Drosophila melanogaster: one gene and its partner. The protein of the gene in region 2 purifies or fractionates together with the protein of the main gene of each other region. This does not show direct contact. Each region holds a gene or a part of one and is shown on either strand. Other genes may lie near its edges. The genes, in order: Snap29 and Syx16.

Region 1 (3,935 bases), on a different chromosome or scaffold from region 2:
GTACCGAACCGAGACCCTAGCCTTGTTCGGCACCGCCTCCCGATCCACGTGACCGGTGCGAGTGATCCGCTTGTAAATGTTTTCGTCGATCTCGCTCATCAGCGCACGCAGTTCGTCGAATGAATATGTCCACGGTGAACGTAGCTCCTCGCCGTCCACGTCCAGCGCATCCTCGTAGTCGCTGTCGCTGTCGCTGTCGAGACCCAGATCCCTGGCATGGTTCTGCTGCGAATTGTCGACCTCGAACTCAACGCCCTTTTTCACGAGATCCCTGCAGAATGAGTTGCACGTGGTCATGAGTGCCTTTAATATGTATCTTATTACTCACGAATAGGACAAGGGATTCTTGAGCAACTGTGGGGTGTACGGTTCGAAGTTTTCTTCCATTATCGCAAAATTTACAGAATATTTACGAAACGAATTCCGGAATGCGCTGAGTTGGCGCTATTCTTTTGGATGCGTTTGAGAAAAGAGCTTTCCAGCGATGGTATCAACTGGAATTCGATTGCTTGATAGCTTTAGCGAATCGATTGGTCGCTGTTGTCCGGAAGTTATCGAATTCAAACAAAGAACTATATATCTTTATTAGGGCGCGAGCACTGCAACTCGAGATATCTTCCGAAAATGTATAATGTATTCCAATCCAGACGGGGAAACACTAGGCCAGATATACTTGCTTTTTATATGAATCTTTATTTAAAACTGAACACTTATCGCTCTCCAACTACGAGCACTCCATTGAGAGAATTGTTTTGGTGTGTGTAACAATAAAAAACTAGGAAACATAATGAGGAATGCATTCTTAATGGCCTTGTGAAGTGCTCACCGTGCGATATGGTATGGCTAAGATTTGTATATTAAGGGAGGGCTATTCTAAGCAATGATCAATACAATAGTATGCGAATGCTCGCTTGTTCACTTCTTCAGAAGCTTGCTCATGTCCTTGTTCTGCTTGTGAATCTTCAAGTCGACATCCTCAATTTTGTAGTTCATGTTATCCAGCAATTCATTTTGCGACTCAATTTCGCCACCCAGATCGGTGGCCAGCATCTTCAGCACCGACAGGTTGCTGCACATCTCCTCCAGATTGGAATCGATCTGGGCCTGGAAGGGATTGGCCGCCTGTCGCTGGGGCTGGTAGGTGCTGCTGGGATCACCACGCAGCTGGCTAACCGGATGATTGTCGTAGCGCTCCGCTGGTGATAGCGGAGCCGAGGGGCTAGCACCGCCACAGGCACCCTGGTTAATGTTGCTATTGGCCTCCTGGGAGGACTGACTGCCCGTGGGCGAACCAGTCGCGGTGGGTGGTTGGTCCCTGTTGCCCGAAAGGTAGTTCTTGAGGCCGCCGAAGACACTCTTCAGACCAGTCAGATGGCGCTGGCTGAAGCGCAGCGTGGAGCTGATCTCGTCCAACTGATGTGATGTCTTCTCCAGTTGCTCCCGCTGCTTGGCCAGCTCCACGGCCGTCGCCTTACCCACCTCCTGGGTTTCGTAGAGCAGACCTGGGGGTTGTAGGAGAGAGACGCATCAATAACGCCCCTTAATTGGCTGGCAATTGACCCCATGTTTACCCAAGCTTTTGTTGGTAGAGTCCAGAGTTCGCTGCTCAATGGCCCTTCGCTTCTCAGCATAGGCCAGTCGCTGTGCGGCCACTGATGGCGACGAGGTTATCTCCTCTTCGTCATCGTCATCCATCTCGAAGGGATTGGTGCTCCTCTGCTGCGGAAGCTTGGCTGCTCCCGTCCGTTTGTTCTGCAGGAATAGGTCGTCGTCCACGTCCTCGAATCTGTCCACGTCATCGAAGTGATCGTGCACTGGCTGCAGGTAGTTATGGGCCATTTCTTGTGGCGAGGGAAACTTCCAAAATGTCGAATTTTGTTATGTTTTCGTAAACTTTTATTTTCTTTGTTGTTGTCTGGAGTTATCGATTGCAATAGCGATGGTACAAATGTAGTATTTGTATGCAGTTCAATCGACTTATAAATAGCTTGACATTGCAGAGGCTTCAATAAAATAAGTTATTATAATTAAAATGATTTTGAAGATACGATAAAAATTGAATTTGTATGTAAGAAAACTTGAAGCTTGATCTAATAAATAAAAAATCGTGTAACGAGCGAATACCGACCGAATCCCCCTACCGATGATCTAGCGGGGAATAAAGCGGCTTGCCATCTCCGATGGATATCGAACCAGCACTTCTGTCAATTTTCCAGCAGGCGTCGCAGTTTCTGTAACTTTTTGGAACTGACCAAGACGGAAGCTTTAGTTTAATTTAAGAAACTGTCGCAGCCGAACGTCACAGGTTTCAGGACACGAATCGGCGGAGCAAAGCACCAAAACATCACCACATGCATAGCACATCGTACTTTGTGGCCGCGACATGCGCGGCGCTGCTTCTGCTGGCGGCGACGGCGCAGTCGACGGCAGCAGCGCAGTCAGGACTGCAGCCAGGTGGCAAGTTAATCGAGTTGGACGAGGACAACTGGCACCTGATGCTCCAGGGCGAATGGATGATCGAGTTGTGAGTGCGAAAGGGTGGCTCTGAGTAGTCCCTACCCACATGAAACCCCGCTGCCCCTGACGTAACATAAAGGGGCGTGGTGCGCCGGCTTTCTCCAGCCGGCAAGCTGGTTCTTTCGTTCTCCGAAATACCAGACATTCCTTTGCGGCGACGATGACTCATCGGCAGCTGTGTTAAACATATGTTTCTCCCTCCATTCACAGCTTTGCTCCATGGTGCCCGGCCTGCAAGAACCTGGCTCCCACCTGGGAGCGGTTTGCCCGCGTGGCCAAGGATGTCCAGGTGCAGGTGGCCAAAATCGACGTGACAACCTCGCCCTCGCTGAGTGGACGCTTCTTTGTCACCGCCCTCCCCACCATCTACCAGTGAGCACCACATAGACCTTTTCAACCCATGAAATACACATCGTCGTAATCCACGTCAATCATTTCCAGCGTAAAAGATGGCGAGTTCCGGCAGTATCGTGGGGCCCGTGATGGCGACGCCCTCCTCTACTTCGTGAAGAAGCAGCAGTGGCAGAGCATCGAACCGCTGTCCGCCTGGAAGAAGCCCGACACCACCCACATGTCCGTGCTGTCCTACTTCTTCAAGCTTTCGCACACTCTGAAGGTACGTTCACCTAGCCCATTATCGCATCGGTTCACTGCATGAGACATAAGCGGAAGCTTATCAGCGGGTTGATCCCGTTGACCCACAAAAGATTGCCGCCCATCACTCATTACTCTGGTCTTTGCTCTCTGCTGTTGTCTTGTATGTTGGGTTCATGTACTAATAGCATACGCAAAAACTCTTTAAGGACTTCAACGGGCGCCTGCAGGAGGAATACGGACTGCCCACGTGGGGCTCCTACGCCCTCTTCGCCATCGCCACCATCTTCGTGGGCGCTGCCCTGGGGCTGCTGCTCGTGTGCCTTGTGGACTTTGTCTACCCACCCAAGAAGTCGCAGCGCCAGAGCTTCTCCGAGTCCCAGGACAATCTGACCGAGGGCCTGGAGGATTTGGCAACCGAGGAGATCGAGGATGATGGCGACGCCGAGGAGAACGATGACGAGCAACGCGATAGCGACGAGGAAGAACAGGAGGACGACGACGAAGAGGAAGAGGACAGCGAGGAGCAGGTGGGCGATCTGGCCACTAAAGAGAAGGAGGCCGACAGCGAGCCGGAAAAGGAAGAGAAGCCGGAGCCCAAGCAGGCCGGCGATGCTGCGCCCGAGAAGACGGAACAGGTGCGCAAGCGCAAGCCTCGCAAAGGCGATTAGGTGCAGCGGGGTCCCTGCGGATCTTCAGCCTTAGCGATCATCAGAAGCGGCAACAAAAAGACTAACACACTGAATCGAGAGGAACACAACCTCTTACCCAAGCATCATTCGAGCGGACATAATCCGTCTGCTCTGCCTTCGCGCACAAAACCG
Region 2 (3,808 bases):
AAGCACAACAGATTGCACCATGGAGGCAGAGAACATCAGAGCAGACGCATTCGAGCCGGCGAAGAGAGCGACGAAGCGCGGAGCCAGCGGAGGCGGGCAGCAGGACGTGGAGATGCAGGTGGACGAGGCGACCGGCATTGAGGGCCAGGTGCTGGGATCTTCGCGAGCATCGGCGCCGCCCAAGGCAAAGCGGGCCAGAAGCGAGCTGCGCAAGGTATCCGTGCCGCCACACAGGTACTCCTCGCTCAAGGAGCACTGGATGAAGATCTTTACGCCCGTGGTGGAGCACATGAAGCTGCAGATCCGCTTCAACATGAAGGCGCGCCAGGTGGAGCTGCGTGTGGGCCCCGAGACGCCGGACATAGCCAACCTGCAGCGCGGCGCCGACTTCGTGCGCGCCTTTCTCTGCGGCTTCGAGGTGGACGACGCCCTGGCCCTGCTGCGTCTGGAGGACCTGTTCGTCGAGTCGTTCGAAATCAAGGACGTGAAGACGCTGCGCGGCGACCACCAGTCTCGCGCCATCGGCCGCCTCGCCGGCAAGGGCGGCCGCACCAAATTCACCATCGAGAACGTGACCAAGACCCGCATCGTGCTAGCCGATAGCAAGATCCACATCCTGGGCAGCTACCAGAACATTCAGCTTGCGCGCCGGGCCGTCTGCAACCTAATCCTCGGCTCGCCGCCCAGCAAGGTGTATGGCAACCTGCGGGCAGTCGCCTCGCGCCTCTCGGAGCGCATGTGATTGGGAGAGCGGACTGGAGTGGACTGGACTGGAGTGGAGTTCGACTTGAGAGGGAGTAGTTGCGGTTTTTTTTTTAGCATTAGCAATAAATAATAAATATAATAACATGTATTCAAACATTTACAATATACACAAACACACACAGCGAATGACGGGAATGAGGTCGGCCCACTGGAGGCGCGTGGGCAACTAGAGCTTGGTCAGGATGAGCAGCAGCAGCATGAAGAATGTGACCGCCGCCAGGACGAGAATGACGCACATCTTGCGGTTCTTGCGCTGATACATTTCCGCCTTGTGCAGCTGGCGCAATCCCTCCGAGACGCGCGTCTGCGTCTGCTCCACGTTGTAGTCGATGCGGTCGAGCACAGTGCCCTGCTCCTGGACCATGTGGCCCAGGTCCTTGAAGATGTCGTTCAGGTCGTAGATGGACTTGACTATCTTGGTCACCTCCTGCTCGCGGTGCTGCGCCACCCGCGTGTTCTCCTCCTCGAAGAGCAGCAGCTGCTGTTGGGTCATCCGGCTGGCCGGCGGCCTTTGGAAGTGATCGTCGATGGCCTGCTCGTCGTCCTCGAACAGATAGCCGTTGCCGGACTTGCCCTCCGCCGGCGGCTGCAGAAAGTTGTCGAAGGAGTCGACGAAGTTCTCGGCGCTCTGCTCGCCCAGCTCCACGTTTGTGAAGACGTCTCCAGCGCCAGCGCCGCCGCCGTCGTCGAAGTACTTCTGCGAGCGCTCCTCGCGGGAGTTCAGCTGAAGCAGGTAGGCATTCTGGCTGGCACGGAACTTCACCGTCAGCTCCTGCAGCTGGAGCAGGGCGCAGTGTACCGCGTTGACCGTCAGGCACTGCTCCATCTTGCTGCCCACGCCGATGCTGCTGCGCACGCACTGGATGTGCCGGTGCGTGGAGGTGATCAGCTTGGAGACGATTTGGCTGAGCACCTCGATGTCGCACTCGTCGTCCCGCTGATCATCGAAGGCGGGTCGCAGGAGGTGGCGTGCGTGCAGGGAGCCCAGTTCATCCAGCTTAGGCTTGATCCTGCAAACGAGTGATGGGAGTGAAGTTGAACCCTGCGCATGGACTACTGTTTGTTTACCCACTTAGACATGGTGTACTGCGCCTCCTCGAACTTGTCCAGCCAGGCGGGCGGCGTGCCGTAGTCGTCCTGCAGCTCCAGTCCCTCCTCCGCCTCGCGCACCGAGTGCTTTAGAAGGCGCTCCGCATCGCTGCCCCTCTGGAAGACGGAGAAACGCAAAACATATGTTAGTTGATGATAACAGTGAAGACCCCAGACGGAGACGCACTCACCCGATCGTCGTAGTGATTCCGGTTCTTGGACGCATTGTTGCGCATGATGACGAACACCTCCGTCAGGTTGCGCGACGTCATCCTGGCCGTCTGCTCCCGATTTCTTGGGGATTGGAAGGATTGATCCAAGTCCGCTGAAAACTCAATCAGATTTTTTCCAGTTTCGTTTTGACACAGCAGCGCAGTGTGCCCGCTGACTTGCTCGCCCAGAATACCGATAGTCGCCACGACGAACTGGTCACCCTGGCCTGAACGCACCGTTACATGTCCGAGAATTATACTTATTTTAAATATTATTTTCTTATTATCTGTAGAATCTGTACTTTATATGTATACTCCTAAACATCCTATTTGCGAAAGTGATTTTTTCAATATACGGATTGGATAGCTCCAATAGAAATATTCGGAAATTACAGAATATAGTATTGCTTTGTTGAGTTTCAACAATTTATAAAGTTAATTCTGTACACACCGTCACGTAAATTGAAATGCAATACTTTTAGCAATAAAACGACCGTAATAGTACAATAAAAGTATTCAATAATTTGTTATGTGCGTTCTCTTTTTTTGCGTTACGAAAGAGTAATATAACCGAATGATATTGTAAATGATTTTAGAATCAAGTACATTTTAGGCTAATGTTTAAAAATTACAAATTTACAGAATTTTAGGGAACTCATTATGAGTTTGGCTTAACGTTTTCTAATAGCCAGCTTCCACTGTACTGGGTTTTAATCCGTGACACAAGCCTGTGACTTAAGAACACTGAAGAGCTATCGAAAGGCAAAACATATCGATGGCTCGACCCCCTGATATCGATTACTTGATAGCTCAGTCAGTTTGCACCTCCCCCTGATATCGATTGCCATCAAACAATTTTATTTCATTTTAAAATAATTCCTTGATTTCAAATTGCATTGTACTGGTAACTGGCACTTCCAATTGTGACCCGAAAGCAGCAAGCGCGGAAAACGGAGAGTTCAAGTGCGGGTGGAAAAGTCAGGATGTCATAACTAACTCCGAGCGGAACAACGAAATGAGCAGTGCGGACAAGGATAACAACGAATTATCCTGATCCTGGACGCCCGATTGCAGTTGTGTGTGTGCTTGCGCGCGTGTGCGTGTGCTTAGTGTGTGTGCCAGTGACGACATTGACCCGCCTTCGCCCCCGCCCCCACCCGCGCTCCAACCCACCACCACACCCCCCTTGAAGGGGTAACTGTGCCATGCCATTGTCGTTGTTGTGGTTGTGGTCGAGCTCGTTTCTAGCCTGACTTCGGCGGTGGAGCACTAGGGAAGGCAACACGAAAACACAAACATGTTCAACCGCCAGGCGAGCGGAGGAGCCGGATCCAGTGGCCAGGGTGCTGGGTCCAGCCAGACCGCTTCTGCAGCACCAGTCTCCGCTGGAGTTGGAGTAGGAGGGGGTGGAGGTGCCAGTGGAGCAGCGGCAGGAGCAGGCTCCGCAGCAGGATCTGGATCGGGATCAGGTTCCGGATCAGCAGCACCGCCCAGCCATTCGCCCGATCTCTACCTGCGCCCGCTGCCCTTTCTGGACGCCAAGTGGCTGCGCGCCGATCTCATCGCCTCCCTGCGCAACGCCGCCGACGGCGCCGTACTGTGGAACCATCTGATCCAGGACTGCGAGCTGGTCTCGTCGCCTACCGCGCCGCTCCTAAATGCCCGCGGACAACTATCCTACCTGGGCGACGATGGCAAGCACTACTGCGGCGCTCAGCAGCTCAAGTGCTCCTGCTGCCAGC

The links.
Region 1: the proteins of Syx16 (region 2) and Snap29 purify together in Drosophila melanogaster (affinity purification with western blotting; 2 studies listed by BioGRID, with this or other methods). This does not show direct contact.

Annotation. Positions count from the first base shown.
Region 1 is NT_033778.4:23,842,808-23,846,742, forward strand, and holds Snap29 (Synaptosomal-associated protein 29kDa), read right to left. Parts: upstream 1,957-3,935; 5' UTR 1,840-1,956; coding exon 1,572-1,839; intron 1,503-1,571; coding exon 916-1,502; 3' UTR 676-915; downstream 1-675. Other genes in the region: shu (shutdown), read right to left, coding at 1-271, 329-387; CG5554 (uncharacterized protein), read left to right, coding at 2,352-2,524, 2,728-2,889, 2,959-3,133, 3,300-3,782.
Region 2 is NC_004354.4:20,391,517-20,395,324, forward strand, and holds Syx16 (syntaxin 16), read right to left. Parts: upstream 2,236-3,808; 5' UTR 2,127-2,235; coding exon 2,046-2,126; intron 1,972-2,045; coding exon 1,838-1,971; intron 1,776-1,837; coding exon 932-1,775; 3' UTR 818-931; downstream 1-817. Other genes in the region: l(1)G0004 (lethal (1) G0004), read left to right, coding at 20-742; HERC2 (HECT and RLD domain containing protein 2), read left to right, coding at 3,364-3,808.